Linked DNA regions of Macaca mulatta. The protein of the gene in region 5 interacts with the protein of the main gene of each other region in a pairwise test. Links are inferred from orthologs where the notes say so. Each region holds a gene or a part of one and is shown on either strand. Other genes may lie near its edges. The genes, in order: DDX39A, HNRNPC, SETBP1, MAPK1IP1L, UBE2I, PIAS3 and SETX.

The links.
Region 1: the proteins of UBE2I (region 5) and DDX39A interact in a two-hybrid assay, tested with the Homo sapiens proteins (3 studies listed by BioGRID, with this or other methods). The link is inferred for Macaca mulatta from reciprocal best matches to the Homo sapiens genes UBE2I and DDX39A.
Region 2: the proteins of UBE2I (region 5) and HNRNPC interact in a two-hybrid assay, tested with the Homo sapiens proteins (2 studies listed by BioGRID and IntAct). The two-hybrid records come from large-scale screens. The link is inferred for Macaca mulatta from reciprocal best matches to the Homo sapiens genes UBE2I and HNRNPC.
Region 3: the proteins of UBE2I (region 5) and SETBP1 interact in a two-hybrid assay, tested with the Homo sapiens proteins (2 studies listed by BioGRID). The two-hybrid records come from large-scale screens. The link is inferred for Macaca mulatta from reciprocal best matches to the Homo sapiens genes UBE2I and SETBP1.
Region 4: the proteins of UBE2I (region 5) and MAPK1IP1L interact in a two-hybrid assay, tested with the Homo sapiens proteins (3 studies listed by BioGRID and IntAct). The two-hybrid records come from large-scale screens. The link is inferred for Macaca mulatta from reciprocal best matches to the Homo sapiens genes UBE2I and MAPK1IP1L.
Region 6: the proteins of UBE2I (region 5) and PIAS3 interact in a two-hybrid assay, tested with the Homo sapiens proteins (2 studies listed by BioGRID and IntAct). The link is inferred for Macaca mulatta from reciprocal best matches to the Homo sapiens genes UBE2I and PIAS3.
Region 7: the proteins of UBE2I (region 5) and SETX interact in binary tests that used the Homo sapiens proteins (3 or more experiments, as listed by UniProt). The link is inferred for Macaca mulatta from reciprocal best matches to the Homo sapiens genes UBE2I and SETX.

What each region holds. Positions count from the first base shown.
Region 1 is NC_133424.1:15,013,197-15,017,437, forward strand, and holds the start of DDX39A (ATP-dependent RNA helicase DDX39A), read right to left. Parts: upstream 2,801-4,241; coding exon 2,593-2,800; intron 2,258-2,592; coding exon 2,130-2,257; intron 1,187-2,129; coding exon 1,094-1,186; intron 724-1,093; coding exon 540-723; intron 1-539. UniProt on the Homo sapiens protein: Helicase that plays an essential role in mRNA export and is involved in multiple steps in RNA metabolism including alternative splicing. Regulates nuclear mRNA export to the cytoplasm through association with ECD.
Region 2 is NC_133412.1:94,116,737-94,120,940, forward strand, and holds the start of HNRNPC (heterogeneous nuclear ribonucleoproteins C1/C2), read right to left. Parts: upstream 2,801-4,204; 5' UTR 2,629-2,800; intron 2,000-2,628; exon of another isoform or gene 1,954-1,999; intron 1-1,953. UniProt on the Homo sapiens protein: Binds pre-mRNA and nucleates the assembly of 40S hnRNP particles. Interacts with poly-U tracts in the 3'-UTR or 5'-UTR of mRNA and modulates the stability and the level of translation of bound mRNA molecules. Single HNRNPC tetramers bind 230-240 nucleotides.
Region 3 is NC_133423.1:47,334,648-47,338,147, forward strand, and holds part of SETBP1 (SET-binding protein), read right to left. Parts: coding exon 2,997-3,500; 3' UTR 1-2,996.
Region 4 is NC_133412.1:128,193,152-128,195,991, reverse strand, and holds part of MAPK1IP1L (MAPK-interacting and spindle-stabilizing protein-like), read right to left. Parts: intron 1,928-2,840; coding exon 1,220-1,927; intron 1-1,219.
Region 5 is NC_133425.1:2,512,388-2,516,687, forward strand, and holds the start of UBE2I (SUMO-conjugating enzyme UBC9), read left to right. Parts: upstream 1-1,500; 5' UTR 1,501-1,670; intron 1,671-3,035; 5' UTR 3,036-3,046; coding exon 3,047-3,112; intron 3,113-3,304; coding exon 3,305-3,388; intron 3,389-4,300. UniProt on the Homo sapiens protein: Accepts the ubiquitin-like proteins SUMO1, SUMO2, SUMO3, SUMO4 and SUMO1P1/SUMO5 from the UBLE1A-UBLE1B E1 complex and catalyzes their covalent attachment to other proteins with the help of an E3 ligase such as RANBP2, CBX4 and ZNF451.
Region 6 is NC_133406.1:119,438,376-119,442,471, reverse strand, and holds the start of PIAS3 (E3 SUMO-protein ligase PIAS3), read right to left. Parts: upstream 2,801-4,096; 5' UTR 2,784-2,800; coding exon 2,760-2,783; intron 773-2,759; coding exon 355-772; intron 198-354; coding exon 113-197; intron 1-112. UniProt on the Homo sapiens protein: Functions as an E3-type small ubiquitin-like modifier (SUMO) ligase, stabilizing the interaction between UBE2I and the substrate, and as a SUMO-tethering factor.
Region 7 is NC_133420.1:15,130,863-15,134,362, reverse strand, and holds part of SETX (putative helicase senataxin), read right to left. Parts: intron 566-3,500; 5' UTR 559-565; coding exon 382-558; intron 1-381. UniProt on the Homo sapiens protein: Probable RNA/DNA helicase involved in diverse aspects of RNA metabolism and genomic integrity.

The DNA.
Region 1 (4,241 bases), on a different chromosome or scaffold from region 5:
AGGGCAGAGTGAGCCGCGGGAGTGGCCAGTCCTGGTGCCTGAGGGGCTGGGGGGTGGCCAGCGAGCGCAGGCGCGGGAGGAGCTGCAATCCACTTACGCGCTGGCGCGGAGCAGCCGTGCCCGTGCGCCTCGAGACACGCTTCAGGGAGGGGAGCCTGAGGCAGAGACAGCCGCTGGGGTGAGAGCTGCAGCTGCCTCCCAGGACACAAGCCCATCTCCCACCGGCCCTGTCGAGGCTCCCTGAGGGCAGGTGGGGCCTAGAACCAACCCAACAGGTGGCAGAAGTCTCACACTCCTAGAGGTATGTGCGCGTGCCTTTACGTCCAGGAGGGACGGGGGCTTATTTGGGTCCCGTGGTCCCATTCGGCTCGGGCTCAGAAACAGCACGTCCCTCTGCCAGCAGCAGAGCTTTCCCTAAGATCACCACAGGAGCCCCGCCTGCCAGCCACCCATGTGACCCACTCAAGAGTCTTCCGCCTGCTATGGGGCCCACCTAGTCACTGACTCTCCAGCTGAGGCTGCAAGGGCAGATGACTCACCCAGCTGCTCCAGCATCTTGTCACACTCGTCCAGCACAAAGTGCTTCACATTCTTTAGGCTGAAGCTCCTGTTCCGCACGAGCGCCAGGATGCGGCCCGGGGTCCCCACCACGACATGGGGACAGTTCTTCTTCAACACTTCTTCATCCTTCTTGATGGAGAGACCCCCGAAGAACACAGACACCTATGGGGAGGAGGAGGAGGAAGCTGCTCCATGCTGATACCTGGCCCAAGGCCCCAACCAGCTCGGCCCCAGCAGCCCCTGAGGGCACCTAATACCCAACCCCAGCACCTGTGAACAGGAGGCCTCAGGGGACCAAGGCAGGCCTGAGAGCCTCCCGGGGCTCCACTCAAAGGAAGCCCCAGGCTGGGACCTGCACAGGCCCCTGGGAGCCATGCATAATTCATCAGGCTTTTAAGGAGCAAAAACCACCGCAAACCTCAAAGGCAGCTGCCCCTGCCAAGCTTGGTAAATGCTGGCTGGGCCAGAGCCGAGGCTAACAAAGCTGCAGAAACCAAGCGGCGCCTGACCAAGTCCAACCTGAGGGGCTCACCTTGACGCTGGGCATGTACTTGGAGAAGCGCTCATACTCCTTGCTGATCTGGAAGGCCAGCTCCCTCGTGTGGCACATGACCAGGACCGTCACCTGGGAAGTCGCACGAAAAAAGGGCCCTCAGGCAGTATCCTAAACCCCTCCCCCACCAGAGTCCACCCAACCCAGTCCCCCCAACATACTGCACCCAACATCATAGGCCATTTGAAGACCCGGTCCAAATGCCTCCCCCTTCTCACGGCCCTTCTCCAACCCTCACTCCCTATACCCTCCCACAGCTACTGAAACTTGTCTCCCAACACCAGGACCCGCAACGAGAAACAGAAAATGGCCCGCATAATGGTTAGACCTGGCCTGCCCAGGTGACGTGGGACCCAGCTCTTTAAGGATTTCCTGAATCTCGGCACTCAGGCGGCCCCAGCCCCGGTCTTCCCACCCATGCCACCAGACACTGGACCACACCACAGCTCTCCACGGCACCTTCATCCATCAGGATGTGCTCTGAGATAACAAGCGCACGGGCGCCAATATGAGGCCCAAAGATGTGCACCCGACCTGACTCAGGAGCAAGACACCAGAATTCACTGAAGTGTCTCCCCAAGATAGTGGCACACAAGATAAAGGGAGAAGACAGCCAGGGCCTAACAGCAAGGACAGCAGTGACAGCTGTATTCGGGGCAACCCAACCTTCATAGATGGACACTCTCTAGGTAGGTGGCACAGCAAAACAGCAGCAATACCTCTGGGGCAAGGGGCAAACTGTAGGCACTTTCCAGTTATTTTGGCTTATTGGCAATTTCTGATTTTTGTAATAACTGATTACTCTATATTTTGAGATAGAGTCTCCCTCTGTCACCCAGGCTGGAGTGCAGTGGTAGGATCATAGCACACTGCAGCCTCGACTTCCTGGCCTCACGCAATCCTCCAGCCTTGGTTTCCCAAAGCGATGGGCTAACAGGTGTGAGCCACCTCATCCAGCCCCTCTACTTCGGCCACCACAGGTAGGGTGGGGCTGGGAAGGAAGAAGCCCACCCACCTGTCCGTTAACAGGCTCAATCTGCTGTAGGGTGGCCAGCACGAAGACCGCTGTCTTGCCCATCCCAGACTTGGCTTGGCACAGGACGTCCATGCCCAGGATGGCCTGGGGAATGCACTCGTGCTGGACTGCAGGAGAAGCAGAGCGTGAGAGACGAGAACCTGGACACACCCCCGTGCAGGCTGCTCACCAGTTGACCAGGGGGCCCACAGTGAGGGCAATCAGAAAAGGCCAAGTCCGGACAAGGCCACAGACACCTGCAGGGCTAGGGTATCTGCCTGGTCAAAGCAGAGCACCCCGGTGCTGAGAGCAGCCATAGGCCCTGCTGGGCACAACTGATCCAAGGGGCGGGCAGGCCCCTCCCTCACCCACGGCACACTGGAGGCAGCACCGCTCTGGGCGGGCAGGGCTGGTCTTGTCTTGGTGAGGACCTGGGCAAGAGGATGACACCCAGAAGGCGTACCCTCAGACGGATGCTCAAAGCCACAGTCCACGATGGCCCGCAGGAGCTCCGGCTTCAGCAGAAAGTCCCGGAAGCCAGAGCTGTGGATGGAAACGTAGGATCCCTTGATGTCTTTCTTAGGGGGAGCCGGTGTGCTCTCTTGAGGAGCCTGGGGCTCTTCCTCTTCATCGTAATCCAAAAGATCATTTTCCACATCCTGTTCTGCCATGATGCTGAGAAGAGAGAGAGGCAGGGTCCCGCGAGTGGGCACAGAAGGATGATGAAGCTTCATTCAAACGGCATTCTCTACCACCTCCTTCCATAAGCCAGCCTGTCAGCTCCACCTGGGCTGCATCTCGTAGCTTCGCCCTGTCTTCACCTCCGCACCCCCAAGCCACCCTATCTCTCCCCCATGCCCCGCTTGCTACACCCACAGACAGAACACCCTCCACCTCCAAGGGCTTCCCATGGCTTGCAGAGTTAAAATCCCAACTCTCACCACAGGTCAGGCAATCCCCTTGGTTTGACCCCTGCCCACCTCATCCCACACCACCCCCAGCCTTGTTCAGCTGCTCAGACCCCTGGAACTCCTGCCCCAAGCCTTTGAACCCGGTTGTCACCACCAGCAATGCTCGGCCCCAGGTCTCTGCACAAATGCCTTCTTCTCCACACGCAAGCCTCAGCTCCAGTGAACCTCCTCGGGCTACCTAGCCCAGAGAAGCCCCCTCCCTATCACTCCGCAAGGAACCCACTGGGCTTTCATGGGGCAGGAGCCCAAAGACCCCAGGGGTAGGGCTGCCAGGATGCTGGCGGGAACTAAGTTTGCAAGAGAGCAAGCAGTATCTGCCCAGCCCCAGCTTCTCCCGCTCTCTGTGGTCTGCACAAGGGAATAATTAAGTGCTCTCATGAAAGGCCTCCTATTGGGCCTGGGCCAATAAAAATAAAGCTGAGAAGATGGAAAATGGAATTAATACAAAGTCTGCCTACCTCTTTGCTTTATTAATCTAATGCATACCAAGTGCCTGCTGGGTGCAAGGGACCCAAACATGAGGACAATTGTCTTTCATCCTCCTCCTCTACCCCAGACTCCAGTGGGGGGTGGAGCAGAGGGCTGCAGCTGATACAATTCTTCCTGAGGCTGGATGCTGAGGATCCTAAGCCACTTCTGGCCCCACTGTCACTCAATCCCAGCCCAGAAACAGCAATTCCATTCTCTCAATGGCTGTTTTTTCTCTCTCAGCATCCCTGTCCATGAGGCAGTGAATCCCATCAAGGCCCTCTGGCCAGTTCTCACCTATGCTACCATGCTGGCCCCAATGTGCTATCACCTGTTTTTTATTATTATTGAGACGGAATCTTGCTCTGTCACCCAGGCTGCAGCGCAGTGGCACCTCGGCTCACTGCAACCTCCGCCTCCAGGGTTCAAGAGATTCTCCTGCCTCAGCCTCCTGAGTAGCTGGGATTACAGGTGCTTGCCACCACGCTCAGATAATTTTTGTATTTTCAGCAGAGACAGGGTTTCACCATGTTGGTCAGGCTGGTCTCGAACTCCTGACCTCGTGATCCGCCTGCCTAGGCCTCCTAAAGTGCTGGGATTACAGGCGTGAGCCACTGCGCCTGGCCTTGTTATTATTATTTTTAATTAGAACAGCTTTACAGGCCAGGCGCGG
Region 2 (4,204 bases), on a different chromosome or scaffold from region 5:
AAATGTAGTATACACAAAACCAAAAGCTTCCCATTTCCAATGAGAATACAAGAATATGCATATTAAGAGCAAATAATGCTCCCCAGAGACAACTACTAATTATTTGAAGACTGAAATAATGTGGTTAAGAATAGTAGTAACTACTACTAATTTAGAAAACTGGGGCCGGGTGCCGTGGCTCACACCTGCGTAATACCAGCATTTTGGGAGGCGGAGGCACGAGGATTGCCTGATCTCAGAAGTGAGACCAGCCTGACCAACACGGTGAAACCCCGTCTCTACTAAAAATATAAAAATCAGCCCGGCGTGGTGGCGCACGCCTGTAATCCCAGCTACTTGGGAAGCTGAGGCAGGAGAATCGCTCAAACCCGGGAGGCAGAGGCTGCAGTGAACCGAGATTGTGCCACTGCACTCCAGCCTGGGGCAACAGTGAGACTCCGTCTCAAAAAAAAAAAAAAAAAAAAAACTGCTTTAAAAAGACTGCATCTGTACAGTTTTTAGTCTTCTGGCAACGAAAAATTTGAATTAGAAACTAAAAATTCAAATAAGTTAAAAAAAAAAAAGTCTAAGTCCTCTTATTTAAGCAAGGAGGATTAAAATCTATTTCTCCTCCTAGGCAAACTTACTCCCTATTCAACACCTCACATTCAACACTTAATATTAAGTTTTAATAATTTGCCCCTTAGTCTTTAAAATTAGAGCAACTAGCTATTTGAGTTTATTCTTTGTGTCGCACTGCCATTCCATCCAAAACAAGGTCGAATGCCATGTCAAATCCTCTAAGAGATTTAATTACAAACGTAAGCTGTTTAAATTCTCCACAGAAGGAACATCAACTACCAAGTATTCCCAAGAGTGGCACACGAATGGGGGGAAAAAAAGGTCAGAAAACCTGCAACCTGGCCATCCTTCAACTTTTCCCCCTAGCCAATACGCTAGCCAATACGAAAATGTTACTAAATGCCTATCCAGTTGAGAACACACCTGGAATTGTGATATAAATGCCGTGGCAAACAGTTCTTGATATTAAAGAATTTTTGGTACGCTGATATACATACTGATCTGATATACATACTGATCGGAAGGAACCCGTATTTCTAACACCTCAAAGGCAAAGAAAAGTGCCTGTCAATCAATTTCAGCTATTATCAACTGTTCTTAAATACTAACTTCTGACATTTCTCATTGCCAACATTTTTACTACATGATTTCCCCATTAATCTATTTTTGCCTTTACCTCATTTCTAACAGTTTAGCACGATGATAAACTTTAGTTTTAAGTTCCTGTAATAATATATTTAAACTTAAAGGGGTCGCGATGTTTTTGACCCTTATTTTACTTCCTATCAAATAGGTTGCCTTACAGATAAATTTCTTACCCGGCAGAATTGGTTTAAACTGTGCTTAACAGCTTTAGTTTTTGTGAAATTAACAGATTGTAAAAAATAACCAAATCTCATGTGAGGATTTAAAAAACCGATTTCCCAGATAAGTGAACGTGACACTAAAGATCTGTAACTTTAACTTACAAGTTTTTTATCAAATTTCAGCACCGAGCAAATAACAGCACTGTTAATATTTGCTTAATAAAATGTAGCTGTGAATTTTTGCCCAAGTTTAGGTGGACGGGAAAATTAACATCAGAATAACCCGAAAGTCAAATTTTGTCATCTTACACTTAGGAAGTTACGTTAACAACAAATTCTCAAGTCTCGTAGTATTTTTCTTAAGCGCAATTTGGGAATTTCCAGTTACCTCGTGGTTTCCGTCATCAGGTTCTTGCAAAGATTCAAATATTGTACTTTTAGAACCCGGTATTCCATTAACCAGGTAAAAACCACTCGACTGACCTCGTGGTCAAATTCCTTAGTAGTTCTGCTACTGACTTAATTATGACCCTAGCAATCAACACTTTGCCTCAGTTTCTGTCTGAGAAAGAGAGTTAATACCTACCTCAAGCAAAGTTCCACTAACTTATATATTTCAAGTGTTTTGTAACCTGCAGATGAAAAGTCAGCTGTAATTATTAATATAGTTATACACAATATTTCCTTTTACAAACGTAAGTGAAAATAACTACTTCGAGCTCCATTATTTGCTCATAGAGAGGAATAAAATAAAAAGTTATCAGTAAAATGCTAAATCTTTTGTTAAACCTTTCTCATAGGCCACGCGGCACGATCCAGGATTTAAAGGCTCGCGATACATCTACTTGGTAACCTTCCCCCTCCCCCTCCCCCAATTTTTACATGTAAGAAGAACCGAGGTAATAGAAGGCATCGGCGCTATGTTAACTTCGACTATATTAATGAACATCGCGATCTTCATTTTCAGGATCCCGGAGTCCTCGCGGTCGTAGAAAATGAAAGGAAAGCAGCCGTTAACACAGGAAGAGCGAAAAAAGGGCATTTTCCCTGGCGATCGTGGCCCAGAGGACACCAGGTTAAACCTACGCAGAGGCTGAGGCCTGTAAAACCGCCTCCCGCTTCAGACCTAATCCCCCAAAACAAACAGAATAAATGAGGGCCCGGTTAGTTAGGGGGAAGGGTTCCCTCATATTCTCTCCCACACCCCCTCTAGCTTCCCAAAAAACCCAGCGCCTTCCCTGCGTCCGCCCTCTCCACTTACCAGGAGGGGGGAGGGAGAAGAGATTCGATTCTGAGTCTCCTACTCCCGGATTCGGCGTGAAGAAACCGACTGCAGGTCGAGGTCGGCAGCGCGGCCACAACCGCTCAGTCTTCGTCTCTTCACAAAATGGCCCCCGAGTCTCCTCTGCCGCCGAGGCGAAGGCCTAGTCCCCGCCCCATCCCTAAGAATCTTCCTATTGGCTGTGTGTTTTTTCGCTCCCGCTCCTAATTAGACAGTTCAACCGCTTCTCACAATGATATCCAGTCACAATTGGCAGTGGGTTAGACTAAGCAGAAGAATTTCCACATGCGTGAGAGAAACTAGTTTGTAACTGGTTAATTTTCCTGTCATTTATCGTCTGGGGAATGTTTATTGGCTATTGCACCGGACGACCCTCTGGGTGGAAACTCGCCTTTGTATCGCGCACCGTCTCACATCCGGGTATCTGGAAGGCCTGATTGGCGGCCGCGGTGTCCTATCGCTGCTCCTTAGAGTGCCTAGTAAAAGGTTCGCTCAGACCTCGGATTTCCGGCGGCGCGGGGGCGGGGAAGGGCTTGAGGGGCGTTGTTAGGTGACGGGCGCAAAGGACTTGCCCTAGCCCCGGGCCTAGGAGAAAAAAAGCGCGAAATGAAGCCTCCGGCGTGCAATATGAATAAAGAAAGAACTTTACTTAAAATGAGGAGGGAGCAGCGGTGACTAGGCCGTGTTAAAGTGTGTAGAAAACTAACCAGCCCTGCCGTTTTTCCAACCCGAGAGCCTTTCTCAGGTCCAGATTCGAATGTCAGCTACCTCGTAGACATCTCTGCTTCTCAGCCTATTAAACCCTTCTTCAGACAACACATATTCCATCCAAACCAACTGACTTCCTTATTCCTCTCCAATATGAAAAGTAAATGAAGTGCAAAATCCCGGCCTCTGGCCCAAGTCATCTCACTAATATCTTAAGTGCCAGTAAAATTGGCCCATCCCTCCGAATCTGCTCCCTTAATTTCCCTCCTCTTAAAATGGCTTGTCTCCTACGTACCCCCGTCACCTGCCAGTCCTTCTGGTTACATTATAGGAACTGCGCACACAGTGGATTAGCATCAGCTCTACTAAGGGAGCCATTTCTTTTTTTTTTTTTTTTCTTTTTTCTTTTCTTTTCTTTTTTTTTTTTGAGGCAGAGTCACTGTCGCCCAGGCTGGAGTGCAACTGCCTCCAGTTGAGGTTGATTGGCGGCCGCGGTGTCCTATCGCTGCTCCTTTTTTTTTTTTTTTTTTTTTTTTTTTTTGAGACGGAGTCTCGCTCTGTCACCCAGGCTGGAGTGCTGTGGCCGGATCTCAGCTCACTGCAAGCTCCGCCTCCCGGGTTCCCGCCATTCTCCTGCCTCAGCCTCCCGAGTAGCCGGGACTACAGGCGCCCGCCACCTCGCCCGGCTAGTTTTTTTTTTGTATTTTTTAGTAGAGACGGGGTTTCACCGTGTTAGCCAGGATGGTCTCGATCTCCTGACCTCGTGATCCGCCCGTCTCGGCCTCCCAAAGTGCTGGGATTACAGGCTTGAGCCACCGCGCCCGGCATATCGCTGCTCCTTAAGGCG
Region 3 (3,500 bases), on a different chromosome or scaffold from region 5:
AAAAAAAAAAAAAAAAGCAGCCCCACCCAGAAGACAGTGTTGGGGGGCCCAGAGACCTCCACCATCAGGGTCAGGAGAGTTGGGTTTTCTTCCCAGCTCTGCAACCAACTGCCAACTGTCTGTAAGCTGCATTGGCCCACGGCTGAGCTGAGTTTGGACAGGTGGGGAGAGGCTAAAGGAATTGGGGGTAGTTAGAGAATAAGGAAATGGTTGTACTGATGAGTTAGGTAAATGAAAAGCAGAATAACATAATGTGATACTGAGAGAGGAACTGGGTGGTGGAGAGAGGAAGCTGTGTAGGTGACCGAACTTGCTTCCGCCTCCAAGCGGCTGTTTCGCATGCCTCAGCTTTGGTCCTCTGCAGTATTCCAGTCTATTCCTAGGGTCATACAAGTAGGGGATTCGAATTTAACTCACATGACCACTATAGACCAGAATTCACGTGTAAGTTGCAACTCTGCTGTTAAATCTCCTGAAATATCTTTCAGGGCTTTGGAAATTCTAATGTACCCCAAAGCTTTTTTGGAATTTCTCACCTACTAGAGGTTAATGTCAATTAAACTTTGGGTCCTTATTAAAGAAGTTTGCAGAGTGCCAGCTCATCTTCCTCTGCAAGAAGGTTGAGTCTGCTTATAGACGTGGCTGGAGAGACAGTACAACACAGGAAGGAGGAAGGGCAAACGAAAGAAAGAAGGAAATGATTTCAAAACCCAGGAAGAGAAACCTCTTTATGGCTGAATTGGAATGAAAATGGTTGCTGTTTCTTAGCAATGGTGGGGTGAGAGGGGCTAATTTAAACCTTCCTCTCAGGTGACTTTGGAACCACTCAGACAGGGCTTGGGAATGACGAATTAAAAATGGCTGCTTTGATTTTGCTGTTTAACTTGTGTGAAATGCCAAAGGTCAACCAAGGTCACAAACTGAGTATCTAGAATATAAGCTTTAAAGTAGAGGGGAATGCCGTCCTTTAAACTTACATATTGCTAGTATTAAATGCGACTGACCTAGCGGGCAGCAAATGATGTGAAGTCCATGGTGACAGAGCACAATAGTATGACTATGTGGGTAATTTCAACCAAATCTTGGTGCCATAACGGAGCAGTAATGTTTGCAAGCACATTAACTTGGAATTTAAAAATTTACTCACATAGATACCCCATCACTTATTCTCTTATGTTGCCAACAAAAATCCCTCTCTCTCTCTAAGGAAATAATATTGTGTTCTGAAATGATAATACAATTTCCAGCTGGTCCCAACTTCCCGTAAAGAAACTTAATTTGGAGGTAAACCAGATATTCTAATTCCCATTAGAAAATTTAATTCTCTCTCTCAGTGTCTCTTTCTATAATCTACCATGCCAGGTGTTTGATGTCTTGGGGAAGGTAAGGGGGAGTGAGGGAGGAAATTGAAAATACTTATTTGAAATTTCCACAATCTGACTTTTAGAAAACATCTACGGAAATGGAATTCTTCGTATTCATTCTGAGCCTGCTTAACATATTTTATTCGGGCTGTGGAAATGGATAATAGAGATGGAATATCTGTCCACGCTAAACCAATGGTTAGAGTACAACTTGGATGAGAAATGTACAGCTGAAATTGACCATTTAAAAGACGATTTGTCACACACAGTTTGCATCCATGCAGACTGATAGATTTATAATTACATTATGTACAATAATGTTTTAGTTTATTTAAGGCAACCACAATTTGGATACTTTGTCCAAGGTGGCTTGATATAATTGAAGTGGTGATACCCTTTGAGCATTTTATTTATTTATTTTTCCAGATAAGAACACTTACTCCCATTTGCTTTTAAGAAATAATTATCCAGGGATAATGGACTTCTTCTATTGTCTTTTTGTTTCCTTTTTTTCCTTTTTTTTTTTGAACAACCTATGACAATTATTCGTATGAAAAAGATCAGGTACCAGGGCATTGCTAGACACTTGTCTTTCTGGTGGGTCTGGGGTGTCAGTTTTTGGTGGCTTGTCAAGTTATTCTATTTGCTGTGGGGTATTAAAACCATTTTATTCTGCCTCTGCTCTGCTGACATGTTTTAAGTATAAAAATAGCCTGGTTGACATCTGGGTCAACATATCCTTGGCTGCTCTGCGTAACTTATTAAAAAGGTTTTATCAATACTGAGTATGTTTCACAATGATTGGGATTCAAAGCCAGGTTCTTGGAACAGCATGCCAAGGTTGAACTTTACAGCACAGGTTAAGAATTGTATTATTTAAATGTGTACCAAGATTAAAAAAAAAAAAGCAGCAAGTACGTCAATGAAAAGATATATGGAAGTACAACGGGCAAAGGAAAAGTAGGAATAGACAACGCTAAAAATCAGTGTATGTGCGACAGAAGAGGCACACAGAACATGAATGCGGGTCTAAGGTCGCCTATCACTAGAACTCCACCTTCTGATCACACAATTCCATCTGAGAAACTGTACGGTTAAGGGAAAGATTCAGGTCACCTGAAGATGACGTTGGTACCCCAAAGCTTAGCAGAGCTTGAAAATCAAAAGAAATAAAAACCAATTAAATGGAACGGGTTACAGCAATGCCAGTTGAGCAATTTGCAGCTTTTCTCCCCTTGGAATGTTTCCTAATTGAGGGTGTTTCCCTTTCGATTTTCCTGGCCAGCAAATGAAATCGGAGTCGAGGGCGCACTTTGGCAGCGGGAGGTCAGGAGAGCGCCACCATCCTGCTCCTCCTGGGGGCCTTCCGCTCGCCTGCGGACGATCCAGCCGTACTGAAGCGCCGCGTGGTGGGAGCTGCGGTGAAGCTGACAAGCTTCTTCTGAAGGTGTCTCCCTGCTTTGCTTTCCTTAGAGCTCCTGATGGCTCAGCCCGTCGTCTGGCCGGATTCTGCCTGCCCGGCTTCTGGAGAGAAGGGCGTGGGTGTCCCTGCAGCCGGGGATTCCGCCCCCGCCCACTGCGCTTTCCACGTATCAGTTCCCTAGGCCCCAGGTGCAGACGCCCAGACCCGCCCTAGGGAAGGACCTCGCTCTCACTCCCTCGGGACTTCCTCTGCCTTTTGGCTTTCACCTCCTCTTCCTGGGGAAGGGGCTGCTGCGGGGGCGGCTGCTGCGGGGGCTGAGCGGGGGCCTGCGGTTTGTGTTTCCTCTTTCCGCCTCGGGGGGTCTTGGGTAGAGGGGGTGGTGGGGGTAGGGGCGGTGGCGGCGGTGGCGGTAGGGGCGGTGGGGGTGGCGGGGGCAGGGGCGGCGCCTCCCGGGCCATGTGGATGACCGCTTCGATGGTGGCCATGATGGTGTCTTGGCTGGCGGCGGGCTCCAGCACCAGCGGGCTCAGGCTGGGCTTCTGGCCCCTTTTGCTGGGCAGGTCGATGCATTTTTCCAGCACCGGCATTTGGTCTCTGGAGTCCTCATCGAACTGGGTGGGTTGCTTCCTGGGACGCCCGCGCCTCTTCTTCACGAAGTTGTTGCCTGTTTTTGATTGTCTCTGCAGCCGCTTGGCCTTCAGGATCTTGTTCAC
Region 4 (2,840 bases), on a different chromosome or scaffold from region 5:
TTAAAGTAAATTTATTGCTTAATAAATCCAAACAGCAAGTCACATCACTTACTCTGGCGTACACTTTGCAAAACAAATATTTTTAGATAATATATATAGCAAGAAATTACACTAATGCAAGGAGGAAGTTTTGGGGGTACTTTAAAGATTTCTTTTCCTTTATAGCTGGAGTGGATGTTTGACTAATCTAATCAGAGATCTGACTAGTTATTTGTGTATTAAGAGTTAACAGATTTTTTTTTTCTGGTCGTGCACGGTGGGCTCAGTAATCCCAGCACTTTGGGAGGCTGAAGCGGGCGGATCACTTGAGGTCAGGAGTTCAAGACCAGCCTGGCCAACATGGTGAAACTCCATCTCTACTAAAAATTAAAAAATGAGCCAGTGTGGTGGCGCACGCCTGTAATCCCAGCTACTCAAGAGAACTGCTTGAACCTGGGAGGTAGATATTGCAGTGAACCAAGAGACCGCACCACTGCACTGCTGCCTGGATGACAGAGCAAGACTGTCTCAAAAAAAAAAAAAAAACAAACAAAAAAACCAAACCAGTTAACAGACTTTTTTTTCCTAAGGAAAATCTTCTGCGTTTGGATACTCGCTTGGCTTACCTCACAGGGGAAATGGGGTACTTTTCCATTCGGTTATATGACCAAGGCAGGCTCCTCAACTAAGATGTTAACCCCACTCTGGCTTGTCTGACAGTAAAGCATAAAGCATTACATGTAACTGACAATAAAGAATAGGGGTACAATCCCGAGCTCGAGAATTGCTTGAAAGATGGGCAACATTACCTACTCACTGGCTTGGATTCTCTAAAAATCTACCTCTATCAAGCTAGACAGGTAGAGACTGCTTTTACTGAACTATACTTTGGTGTGATGCTATGAAACGATACTGAGAAATAATAATAATAAAACAAAAAGCCCAGTGAATCTCAGAGTTTAACTAAAGGATGCTATTGAGGGACACTGCTTACTACATTACAAAGTCTTTGGGGATCTTTGGAAAATTTTTCTTTTTAGCACAAGGGATACTTAAAATACTGCTTTCATCCTTTTAAATGCTTTACCTGAAGGTTTGAAATTTACTCATTTAATATACACACACCCTCTTTTAAAAACTTAAAAGCCTTCTTAATCTTCCATCCAAAACTGGGGAGAAACAATCTTTCAGTTGTGCTATGTACAATTAGTACACTTTAAATAACAAATTGAACACTCACATGGGGGCCACCAGGCATCGGTGGAGCACCAGAAGGTCCTGAAGGCACTTGGAAAGGATTACTGGGAGTAGGATAGAGTCCTGGTGTGGGATACGATCCTGTAGGGGCAGGATATGGTGCTGGTGGTCCCCAGGCTCCTGGTGGAACGGTGCCCCATGGAACAGGTGGTGCTGCCCCAGGGGCTTGGGGAGGAGGAGGAGCGGGATATGGCCCTGGAGATGGATATGGCATATTAGGGGTAGGATACTGCCCTCCCATTCCTGGTGCCCAAGGTCCAGAAGACATGGATCCCCATGGACCTAAAGGACCAGCTGCAGCTGGATCTGTGGGTGCACCATATGGTCTGGGTAGCTCTGGAAAGGGCATATTTGGTGTAGGATATGGCCCTGTGGGGCCAGGGCCTGGCACTGTTGGGGCTGGGTAAGGACCACCGGGTGGGGGGCATGATGGTCCAGAAGGAGGAAAGGGTGCTGGGGGTCCTGGAGGTGGTCCGGTGGGAGGCACGGAGGGATACATTCCTGTTGGTGCTGGTCCAAAAGGCACAGTGGAGGGCGTTGCACTTGGTGGGAGTCCAGATGGCACCGAAGGTGGAGCACTCGGATTATTCCAAGGGCTGGAGCCTGGCCAGCCTTGAGGAGGTTGGCCAGGTTTTGTATTGCTCACAGCAGAGGTTTTGGCAGGGGAGTGTTCAGGTAGTGCATCTGCCAACTGGAACACAAAACAGATAACATCTTATCTATCTTATCAAGAGAAAAGTTATACCAAACACCATTATAAACCCACAAAGAACAGTAACCTACAGGGCCAGGGATTATAAACCTCAAGAACATCTTCAAAAGCTAAGCTAGTCATTTAAAACGTACTCGATTTAACATAAAACTTGAGGTGTTAACTTTGAATATCAACTTTACAGTGCAAGTTCTTCAGAGAAGCTCGTTTTCTAAATACAACTAATCATATTGTGCTTCATTTCTCTGCTGTATTAATATAACAAAGTACAGTAATTAAGAAGATAGAACTAACAGTCAAGGTATGGATTTGAATCCTGGCTTAACCTCAAAGGAGCTACATACTCTGAGATAGAGCTTCTTCAGTTTCAAAAACTATTTTAGGGTTAATTTGAGGCTTAAATATGATAGTTCATGTAGTACACTTAACACAGTGCCTGGTATATAATAATTTCCAATAAATGTTGGCTACTAATACTATCAGGGTAAAAGAGAATAGAAGTAACATCTTAAATTTTCATTTAAGGATTCATAAAGAAATATAGGAAACATTTCCAAACATGCTATTATCTCCATGTTTGGCAAATCACCAAGGCAAATCACCTATCAAAATCCCTCTCCTACCCCCAAAGCCAAGAATCACAAAAAGCATCTCTTTTATTTATTTATAAACAGAGTCTCACTCTATCGCCCAGGCAGTAGTGCAATGGCACGATCATGGCTCACTGCAGCCTGGAAATCGTGGGGTCAAGGGATCCTCCCAAGGAGCTAGGACTACAGGTGCACACCATCGCGCCTGGTTAAAGCATCTCTTTTAAGTGAAAAGATTTACGAAGGCCAGTTAGGACCACGTTGTTTTTCTTAAGAGATGAAAAACTTATCACAGATAAACT
Region 5 (4,300 bases):
GAGATGAGTGCGGTGGAGTTGTGAGAGGTGAGTGCTTTGCTCACCCTCAGCCAGGAAGTTGCTCGGAAGTCGGTGCTGTCAACCAGCAGAGCAAGGTGGTGATCCGAGAAGCTAAAGCTCAGCCGGTCGCGGGTGCCCAGCAGGACAGAAGGCAGACCTTCAGGCCACTCCTGGAGTGCTTGGCCCTGTCCTGGTTGCTGCAGTGTCTGGGCCTTGCTTGGCTCTGATAGATGAGGGTTGTTTTTGTCTTTGCCTCATATAAGTTCCCTGCTCTGAAGGGTCTAGTAACTGCTAGCCATTCACTTAGTGCTTATCTGTTAATTTGGAAGGGCAAATTCGATTTTCAGCGGGATTTTGAATGCTTCGTCTGTGTTGTGATTACATTGTAACACATTGGCCACTTTCTCCAGGAGGCCAGTAGGAGGGGGAGCAGGGGGAGGGGCCTGGCTTCTGCCTAGGACAGGGTGGGTGTGCACCTGTGGCTCCTTGCCCTGTGGTGCAGTTTCCTGTGAGACCACCCTGTGGTGCTGAGTGCTTTGGGGCAGGGGATACAGCAGCATCAGCCAGACCTTGGCGGGAGGTCTCACAGGAGCACCCTCACGACTTCTCACATCTGAGACAGCAATAGCTAGGTGCTGGGACGGGGGCCTCTAGGTGGCTCTGTCCGGTCTTCAGTAGGAGGGCTACCTGTGGCAGGGTTCCAGGCCTGGCTGGCCTCTCTGGGGCTGGCCTCTCTGGGGCCTGGCCTTGCCTGGCTGTGAGGATCGTGTTGGCCTTGGTCCTTCAGTGTCTGGAGCACTGGCCTGGGGCTTCAGAGACCTGCTTGATTCCTGGCCCCGCTCAGACCCCGGGCACCTGGGAGGTCGTGGCTCCTCAAAACGGCCGTTCACCAGGCTGCTTTGCACCGCACCAGGCACAGGCTGTGGCTACTCATGAAGCCCACCCTGGGGCTGGGGAAGCGAGAGCTGTGAGTCCTCAAGCCACAACTGAGCTGCTCCATGTGGAAGTGGAGGGTGGAGACACGTGCAGAGAGAGCCTTGAAACCGTGGTTGGCGGGAGCTCCACTCCACTCTGGGCTCGAACCCTGCCTGCCCACAGCTGAGCCCAGCTGTGTCCCCCACTTTCTCCCTTTCTGGCCCCTGGCTTCCCCCCACCCCCACTTAGAGAAGGGCATGGGGATGGGCAAGTGGTCCAGAGGGCAGGCGGCCTGCGGGCTCCTCCGCATCCCTGTGAGGAGGGCATGGGGAGGGACATCCCGGTGGGGCCCAGTCTGGGGCTACCTGTCTTGGACTTAATCGTGTAGCTGGAGGCCAGTGCCCGGATGGCCCCTGTCACCCTCTCGCTGTGATGCCAGCACCTACTGACTGGAGGACCCGGGTTCCTTTGCCTGATTTTTCTCAGGCTGCCCTGAGGATCCGTGTTTGGTTAAAAAGGAGCCAAATCCACCTGCAGGGCAGGCGGCTCTAGCAGCCCCGCCTGGCTTCCAGCACCCTGGTTCCCTGGCGACACTGGACCCGCCTGGGCTTCCTTGATCCCAGCCCCACCCCTGATTTCTGCTTTGCTGCCTCGGGAAGCCATCGTGCCGCCCAAAACCCGAATGTGGGCCTCTCGGAGCTCCTTCCTCAATGAGTCTGCTGGGGACTGGGCCTTGCCTCCCTAACAAGTGCCAGGTGAGGCTGCGGCGGCTCTGGCCCAGGTGGAGCTGCTGACCTGGCCCCTTCCTGCAGCTGTGAGGTGTGTGAGGTTCGTGGGCCTGCACAGGTGCGGGCGCCATCCAGGTCACCAGGGCCCTTGTAGGGACGGCCCCCCACGGTTTGGAAGGCCTGGCGCAACCCCCAGCTTTGTCGAGGTGGCCCTTGCTTGGCGCTGAGATGCCAGACTTGGAGGCAGCTTCAGTGTTCCCGTGGACTTTGAAAACCAGCACACACTTGGGCTTGAATTCTCTGGCAGGTTTTGTGCCCTGAGTGCTGTTTTTCATGGTAAAGGTGACCACCAGTAGGGTGACAGGTGAGGCTGGTGTCGAGGCTGCTGGCCCTGTTTGCCTGGTGTCCCCGGGGACAGTGCGGGCCGACAGGCTCCCGCTGGGAACCAGAAGGCAAAGGTGCCAAGCCCCTGAGGTCCCGTGGAGAAGTGTGGAGCTGGAATCTGGCGTGTGTGCCGCTGCCTCTGACCAGGGACCTGGTCCCGTACCCCATGCTCCTGCCCTGCCCCACAGGACCCGTCTGTCCCCTGAAGCCACAGGGACATGCTAGCGGCTGCAGGGTCCGGGAACGGTGGCCCTGTGGGGGGCTCCTCTTTCAGCGAGGCTGAGCCTCTGCCCTGTGGTACTTGTTCCACTCTGTCTTCAACACGGTGAAACCCCATCTCTATTAAAAATACAAAAATTAGCCGGGCATGGTGGCGGGGGCCTGTAGTCCCAGCTACCCGGGAGGCTGAGGCAGGAGAATTGCTTGAACTCAAGAAACGGAGGTTGCAATGAGCCGAGATAGTGCCACTGCACTCCAGCCTGAGGGACAGAGTGAGACTCCATCTCAAAAAAAAAAAAAAAAACAATATTAGGTGTCCCCCTGGCCCGGCTTGAGTCTCAGTTCTGAGCGCCTGATAGTAAGGCGGGGACCCAGATAGTAAGGCTGGGACCCAGCCCTGCCTAGTCCCCACCTGACGGTTCAGTGAGGACCCTGCCACGCCAGCCACCACAGGGTGGCAGCTACCGCCCAGCCACAGCAGCCCAGCCTCTGAACATCCGTCTCCACCGTGGAGCAGAGGCCGCGGCACGTGTCGCAGACCAGGGCTCGGGGGGCCCATGGGGAAGGGGTCCTACCTGTCCCCCCACCCCCGGTGATCTGGGATCCACTCATGAGGCCTCCCCTGGTAGACCCCGGGGTCGGACGACGGCTTCCAGGAGGAGAGTCTCTGCTGGGCTGGGCTGGCGCCTGTTAGGAGCAAGACTGCCCACTGCGGGCCGTGTGCACGTGGCGGGGCCGCAGGAGCCCGCTAGCCTGTCCTGACCCCGTGCTCTGCCTCCTGTGTTCCAGGGACTCTGAACATGTCGGGGATCGCCCTCAGCAGACTCGCCCAGGAGAGGAAAGCATGGAGGAAAGACCACCCGTTTGTAAGGAGGGCTTCGTTTCCGTGTGCAGTGCCGCGGACGGCCCCCCTGGGCTGAAACCGTGCCCCCCACCACTGGGAGGGAGCTGGCCGCGTGCCTGGGTCGCGCTGGTGGGGCTCGCGGGCCGGTTCTCGGTGGTTTTGGTCAAACGAGATGCCACCGCACTGATGTGCTTTTGTGGTTGTTTTCTCTCAGGGTTTCGTGGCTGTCCCAACAAAAAATCCCGATGGCACGATGAACCTCATGAACTGGGAGTGCGCCATTCCAGGAAAGAAAGGGGTAAGAGGCGCGCGCTGCTAGCCTCCTGCCTGTCGGGGCTCAACAGATGCGTGTGGCAACGCCACGGGGAAACTGCTCAGCCCCTGCCGTCTGTGACGGCCGCCCTTGTCACGGGCTGCGGACAACAGGTCAGATCCCCAGCTGTGGCCTGGCCCCCGCCCCGTGCGGACTTGAGCTCAGAAGGTGGTGCTGGCAAGGTTGGGGTGACAGCTGTGTCCCCACCGAGGGCATTTCTGGTTGAGAAGGAAGCAGGCTGGGCACAGGGCTGAGCTGTGGCAGAGGGGAGGGGCTCTGGTGTGTGTTGGGAGCAGGCCTGAGGGCGGGCAGCCTTTGCAGGCTGGAACCCGGGATTCTGCTGTGTCCTTCCAGGTGTGGCTCAGGTCACGGTAGCTGGGTTTGCTGGAGAGCCACCCTGGCGTAAAGCCGCCTCCTGGAGAACCTCCTGGGGCACAGGGACTGGCGACAGCAGCCTAGGATGCCTGCTTGGGGCCCCCTGTGTGTCTGTGGGGAGCAGGGCGGCCTGTGTGCCTGTCGTCTTTGCCCGGCTCCCGTGAAGCACTTGGCCGGGGACTCCAGGCTGGTGTGCACATAAGGTTCATGCTGGTGAACCCTGAAGGAAGGAGAGAGCCCTGAGGTGCTGGTCCTGCCCGAGGCCTTGTTCCCTCCGGCCCATGCCACCCTCTGGGTTTCACTCTGAAACTCAAAGCAGCTTCGGTCCCCCTGAGCTGAGCAGTCCCAGCAGGTCTCAGCTTTGCCTGAGACATGGTGTCACTTGGGTTTGTCGCTTGTCTGAGGCTCTGCTGAGAACGTCCCTTGCTCTTCACGTCACGGCGACGCAGGTGTGCGGCCCCGAGGAAGACGGGAGTGGTGTCGGATTGTGGGGTGGCAAAGGCGCCTCATCCAGGCAGGATC
Region 6 (4,096 bases), on a different chromosome or scaffold from region 5:
AGGCACAAGAGGATGGATAGGGAAAAGCGCAGGGCAGAAGAGAAGAAAGTCAGAAAGCAGAGTCCAGGGGTAACCCCCCAGGGATGAGGGAGGAAGACTGGAAGAGATGTACCTGGATGTAAGAATCTGCTGCACTTGCTGGGGTGTGAGGGCAAAGGTAAAGTGCGCTTCCTCAAACCGCTGGCTAGAAGTGGATGCTGAGGATACAAAGGGGCAGTTATTCCAAGCCCATGCACAGGCAGCCACAGAAATCACCCCCATCCCAGGTCACTGATCCCATAGGACTAAAGCCTAAGAAATGTCTGGGGAACAGGTAGGGAGTCCAGAAGACTAAGGGACCACAAAGAGCCATACCAAGGGTGGTGGGCCGGATGAGCTCCCCGTAGACTTCATAGAAGGGCAATGGTTTCATGGTGACATCAGGGTGCACAGGCTGGGCAAGAGAGGGGTGCATGTCCACCTCACGCTTGGGGCCCAGCAGGGTGCCAGGGGCCAAGAGGGTTGGGGGAATGGGAGCTAGAGGACCAGGGGAGCCTACAGGAGAGGTGCCAGGAGGCAAAGAGAGAAGGGAGAGGTCAGAGGGCCCCAGGGTCTTCCGGGGAAAGCGTCGTCGGTAAAGCTCTTTGATCTTCATCTGGACGCTAGGGGCACAGCTGGACTTCAGGAGGTGCAGGGCCTTGGCCAGGAGCTCGTGCTTCCGCCCACTCTTGTTCCGGCCAGCAAAGCCAAGAAGCACCTGGAGCTCAGACACCCGGAAACTCATCACCATGTGCTGTGGAGAAGAACAGAGAAGCTTGAGAATCCTCCGTTGCACAGGCCTGCCCTGCCAAGACATGGGCTGAGCTACCAGGTGGGCAGTGCCTTTTTCCCTCCAGCACTGATGGGAAAGATGATGCTTCGCAGCTAGTGGATTACTGCCAGGTAGTCAACCTATCCAAAGGGACATCTCAGTCCCACTTTAGCAACCATCAGGTCAGCATCATCACCACCCCCTGCCCACCCCAAGCTTGAGCAACACTGTCTGTCTCCCCAGGCCTGGAAGTGGCCAGAGTGGGGCAGGGAATGGCAGACAGCAAGCCACCCTCAGACACACCTCCAAGTCTACACAGCCTCCCGCCTCCAACCCTGCCTCTAGTCTGGACTCTCCTTTAAGCTGCTTATCTCCTCTCTTGCCCTTTCTCAGACACTCAAACTCATCCCAGCCTCCTGGGAAGAGGATAGGAGACAGGGAGAAGGAGGGAGAGACAAGAGGATTCAAGCCAGACAGCCCCACGGGGAAGAAAGGGGCCAGGTGGCTGGAGGATTGTGCCCTTCAGCCCACCCCTCCAAACCACCTTAATTCCTCAGCTATTTCCCCCAAGCCTCTGAAGCTTCTGTGGGCCGGGGTTTTCAGGTCAGGGTTCAATGCTCATTACTCCCCCAGATCCTTTCTTGGAATCATTAATATAACCGCCCCCTCCCCACAACTTAGTCCTATTTTTCTGGAAGGGAAACAGGACCAAAACTTAGGTTGAGGAGATTAACAGTGATTCACTGAGTCCAAGTATCCTGCCTGTTTACTCTATCTGCCAGGAACCATTATCTGGCGTCTCTCCTACAGAGAGAAAATAATACTCCTGTACAACCTACAGCCCCCCTACACGGGTGGAAGAGGAGCGGGCAGAGCTCTAAACAGAGGCCCTGGGTGGATGAAGGAAAAGCCTCTGAGTCAGGGCACAGAATCGCAAATTTCCTGAAGGTAGCTGGGCCCAGTGGCTAGACCTCCAGACTGCCCAGGACCATAGCTCCATTTCAAAGGGCAGAAGAAAACCAGGAGGCATGGGGATGAACTCGGTGGTTTAAGGTTCTATGAGATGTCCTCAGACGTGGTCACCCTCCAAACTCTGTGTGGCAGAAGGAGGGGAGCGCTCTCCTTAGAGGGAGGACTCCCTTCTGTGAATCTCTAGGAGATCCTGTCATGGGCAGGGCTTGCTAGCCCTACACAATTCTTCTCACAGGAGGCTTTGTCTTGGACCCCTTTTGTGGAATGTGATGAGAAACTTGCTCCTCTTTCTCCCAATCTTTATCTTCTCTGTCCTGTCTTATTTTTTCCATTAGCTTTCCCTATAACTTCCCTCCTTTCTATCTCATAGTTTCACATGCCTCTGCCTCTGCCCAAACATCGCGATTCACTAAGGCAGGACCTTCCTCTGAGCCTCCAGGATGCTTCTGCCCCACCCCTCGAGGTATCAGCCCGCACAGCCCCGCCCCCTGCATCTCAGCCGCCTACTGGTATTTCCCAAAGCTCGGATCCCGAGAGTAGCCCCAAAGACCCTACCCTTTCAGCTGCCTTTCCCCCGGAGCCTCCCCTACATCTGCCCCGCGGTCCCATCCCTGCATCTGCCCCCTACTGTCGCATCTCTTGGCCTCGATCGACTCGCCCCCAGTGCCTCTAGAGCAGCTTTTCCCCCTGGCCCTACCCCAACAACTGCCCCTACTACTAAATCCGACTTCTACCCTTCGTCCCCGCCCCCTGCGCCTCAGCCCCCAACAGCTGCAATTCCCCTCGGCCCCACCCCTACATCTGCCCCGCAGCCCCGCCCCCGGAGCCCCGCCGCAGCCCCTTCCTCGCTCTCAGCCACTTCTTTCCCATCCTCAGCAGCCCGTGCCTGCCACGTCGTCGGCGCCCACCCGAGCCCCGGCACCCAGTCTCGGTCGCTTCCCGGACACGGCGTACCGCCGGAATCAGTCCAGATGGGGATGGGGGAGGGGGCCGGTACCTTTAATTCGCCCAGCTCCGCCATCTTGAGACATCGCAGGCGCCCTAGCCGGAGCCGGAGCTCAGGCCCAGGGACCGGCGCACAACTCTCCACCCCGGCGCCGGCCGCAAATGCCGCCTGCTCCGCCCCGTCCGGCCCCCTATACCTCCCCTTCCCGGCCCCGCCCGCCTGGCTTCGGACTAGCCCCAGCCTGAGCCCCTCCCTCCACAGCGGACCCAGCAGCTACACGTCTGCGGCGGGTTGGCAGGACGCGTAGCCCCGGAGGGAGTTTATGGCCCCCAAGATCGCGGGGTCCCCTAGGGCAACGAAGAGGAGGCGGGTCCGAAGTGCCTGGTGGAGGGGGGCTTTGCCACGGCAGAGTTGGGAGGGGACAAGCTTTTAGAGAGCCAAAGATACTTGAAAGATGGAGGGAAAGTATCGGGAACTGCTAGAGCTCAGAGAAATGGGGGAGGGGGTAGCGAAGTTGGAGCGCAAACCCTCATCTCCATCTCTACATAAGTTTAAGCAACTAAAATCGAGAGGTCTTCCAACTCGGGAAATGGGCGAGCGCTGATCCGTCTTAGGGAAGCCGTGGAGTCGGCATTCAGTTCAAGACAGCTATACTCAATTCACCCTCTCCTCCTCCCCCCAACACCAACTACAATGCAGCTCGTGGTCCGATCGTAGGACTCAAACTCAGCAGCAAAAAAAGTTTGGTGCGGGGAGCGGGACTTACCAGCACAGTTGTGGGAAATGGAGAGAGGGTTCGGGAGGCTCAGAGGGCGGGCTGGAGAGGTGGGGGCATGGGGCTCGGCGCCGCTCCTGCTGTCCGCACGGCAGAAGTTCGGTCCAGCGGCCGGACGCGGCGGCCGCGGCTCCGCCCGGGCCGGAGCTCCGCCCGGCCTAGCGCTCGGGCTGGGGCCGCCCCCTCCACGGGAAGCCCGCCAGGACCGCCGAGAGGGAAGGGGGGCGGAGCTCGGGCGAGAGAGGGAGGGACTCAGAGCCTGGCGCTGGAGCGATTAACTCCTGGTGTGAGTGGATCTGGAGAGATGAGATCCTTGGATCCCATCATTCTCACTACCTCTGTGACCCCTCACGCTTATGTGTGGGATTGGGGTGGTGGCACGCTGCTGCTAAGGCCGTGTGAACCAGGTGTCTGACCGTATAAAGCAGTCTTCCTTGAAATGACAACTGTCTCTCCCTAGGGCAAAGCCTGGGCTACTGAATCCAAAGTGTACCTAACAGTAACTACTCCAGATACCCCTGCACAGTACCTCCACCAGAGCCCCCATACCTTTGGTGTAGCTGAAGATGAATTGAGGGGTTTTCTTGCCAACAAAAGGAATCTTTCTGTCCCT
Region 7 (3,500 bases), on a different chromosome or scaffold from region 5:
TCAAGAAGGCTGAGGCTGCAGTGAACCGTGATCTCACCACTGCACTTCCAGCCTCGGCAACAGAGCAAAGACCTTGTCTCCAAAACTTAGCAAAACAAACTATGAAAACCCATGTGGCCCATGGAAAATCATGAGCAGCACTTTCACTTTCAGGAATTTGTCCTAAGAATATACTCGAATGTGTAAAATGATATATGTATAATCGCTCCACTGCACTCCAGTCTGAGTGAGAGACTCCATCTCTAACAATAAAAACAAACAAAAAAACCCCCACAAAGTTGCAATCGTATCATCATTTCTCTGAATATCCAACAGAGTTCAAACTTATTATCTTCCTAGCTGTCACGCTCTGAAAAATATTGCCCATCTGATATAAATTACCTCATGCAAGAATGGCAATTCATCTCTTGCTTTGTGGTATTCTGCCACACACTCTAAGCAGTAGCAGAGATCTTCGTCAGCTGTTTGAAATTCACTGGATGGAGTGTTGGAAGCATAGCGCTTTAGGAAGTCAACGGTGGAACCACCACCTGGAGTACACCAACAACATGTGCTCATTCTGTACCTACAGCCAGAAAAGACGACATCAAGAAGAAAACAACATCAAGAAGAAAACCAACTTCAGACCGTCTGTGTGTCAAGAACAGGTACACTTCCAACTTGTGACCCTGGTTTCAATTTAAAATGTGTCACTAAAGCCCAAATCTTCTGCTGGCTGGCTGATCAATCACTGAACTCACTAAACTAAAAAAAAACCCTTCCATTGTTGACATATGAAAAATTCAGAAAAATGAAAGCATTTTAAAAGGAGTAAGTATCATAAGGCAACATAAAGTTGTGCTACAGAGAAGGCTCAAAACTACACAGTACTGACAGAAAATATACAGAGACCCAGACTTATCAACATTTTCAAAGTACAGATTTTGGAGTGGGGAAAAAAGTTACCAAGTATGAACTTAAGTTCATTTCATAAATTGAAAGGACCTAGCTCATGCATCCTCACCAGGAGTGATGTCACCCTCAGAGAGATCTAAAACTAGTTAGTGGGACGTGAAAAAGTCCTCCTCTTTCAGATATAAAGCTCAGATAAACAGACAGTACATAAAGAAAGACACAATATATTGGTAGTATTAAAATTCACAGGAGGGCAGTTTTTAAAAATGTTTAAAAACTCTCCATTCAGGGAGAAAGAAGGTTAGAAGGAGGTTAAAACACCTAAGTAAGGCGGTGGCTCACACCTGCAATCCCAGCACTTTGGGAGGCCGAGGTGGCCTTGCTTGAGGTCAGCAGTGCGAGACCAGCCTGGCCAACATGGTGAAACCCTGTCACTACTAAAAAAAAATACAAAAATTAGCTGTTGGTGCGCATCTGCAATTCCGCTACTCGGGAGGCTGAGGCAGGAGTATCGCTTGAACCTGGGAGGCCGAGGTTGCAGTGAGCCAAGACTGCGCCACTGCACTCCAGCCTGGGTGACAGAGTGAAATTCTGTCTCCAAAAAAAAAAAACCTAAGTGAAGACATCGGGTATGTGGGAAGGGAAACATGGCAGTGTGAGATTTTTGAGTATCACCATCACCCTAAACTTAAGAATACATAATCTTGACCGGGCGCGGTGGCTCAAGCCTGTAATCCCAGCACTTTGGGAGGCCGAGACGGGCGGATCACGAGGTCAGGAGATCGAGACCATCCTGGCTAACCCAGTGAAACCCCGTCTCTACTAAAAAATACAAAAAACTAGCTGGGCGAAGTGGCGGGCACCTGTAGTCCCAGCTACTCAGGAGGCTGAGGCAGGAGAATGGCATGAACCCGGGAGGCGGAGCTTGCAGTGAGCCGAGATCTCGCCACTGCACTCCAGCCTGGGCGACAGAGTGAGACTTCATCTCAAAAAAAAAAAAAAAAAAAAAAAAAAAGAATACATAATCTTTACCAACAGGAAAAATAAAACATCTCAACAGAAAATAGGCTTGGCTGCTGAGGCTTCTGTGGCATAAAGCTAGTTCCTAAAATACAGTGATTTCTAAAAATTCTTTAATTTCTTCTTATACCCACAATTAAATAATTATTTAGAAATGCATAAGCAAATACATTGTCATATGAATTGATTTCTCAAAATTTATTAAATATTACTTTTACTTATGCATTTGAAGGGGTATGCTTTCTTCATGGTTCTAAAAAAAATTCAGGGTAGCTTTCAACATTAAAGTACATACACAAAAGGACATTTAAAAATGAGATTTCAAAAAACAAAATCAAAACTTCTTTAGAAGGAATTTAATTTCACTAAGTTCTACATTAGGAGCTTCCGGAAAGCAGACGAAAAGGGTAACATGAGTTACAGTTCTCATCGAAGTTGGGGAGAAAAAGAGTATGCAGTGATAGCTGCATAGCACCACCCTTTCCTGACACTAACTCTCAATTACATTTTATTAAGGCGTCCTAGTACAGGGGCACTGCAAACCAGGAAATGCCAAGTAACATGGGATAAGATCTTCAATATATTTCTGCAGAATTTAAAACTGTTTTATTCAAAAGAAGAAGAATTACTTATACCTAAGAGGCTAATATCATACTACTAGTAAGTTAACAGCTTGCAGAAGCTGGTTTTTTTCTGGCGACCTAGTTTGACATGGAAAGCAAACTTAGAAGACGTAAGAACAGAAAGTGAAACTTCAAGGAGGTTTCTCAAACATCGTTTTAAGCATGACCTCAGCAGCTAACAGACTGCAGTCAATTTAAGATCTAAAAAACTTAAGTGGGACTACCATGCAAATAAAACATTGCGTACTTCTTTTCCCACTTACCTTACTTGAAACTCTTAATGTTGTGTACTTTACTAACAAAGGAGACAACAAAAGAAACCTTCTATTAAGAAAATTACAGAATTTGCTTTTTATTTCACTCAGAAAAAGAGCCTATTTCCACAACGGAAAAAGCAAGACTAAATTTTCTCGAAGCATATGGGAGTTACTACCAAAATAGGTGAGTGTCGTGGCATCTAGAAGATAATGGAGAACACTGCTGCAGAGCACACCAAGAGAACATACGCTTCCGTAGTTCTTCTTCAAAAGGCTGTGTGTGTGGTTTTGTCTTCAAACTTAAAATCATCACTAGCCTAATGGCTAAGCCCAGGAAATCTCAATAGGGCATATTTTGTCTTTTAGGGAGAAAATAATTGCTTCTAAACTACTGTGAATCCTGTTAAGTTTTTGTACAACTCAGTTCTTCTTGAGGTCTATTTTGTTAGTTTCATCAGACTGTAACCGCTTGGAATCATTACTGAATGACAAATGGGTGTGTCCAGACAATGCTCAAGCTGCAAAACCAAAATTAAAGCAACTCTCTGAGCACCCACCAAAAAGAGAGGTAATGTGTCAAAACCAAAAATATAGGATGCTTCACCATAGGTATAACTGTAACTTTCTACAGACTTATCCTTAGGCCAGAAACTTCAAATACACTTCTCAGCTAAACATCCGGAAGTTTAGATTCACTACCTCCCAC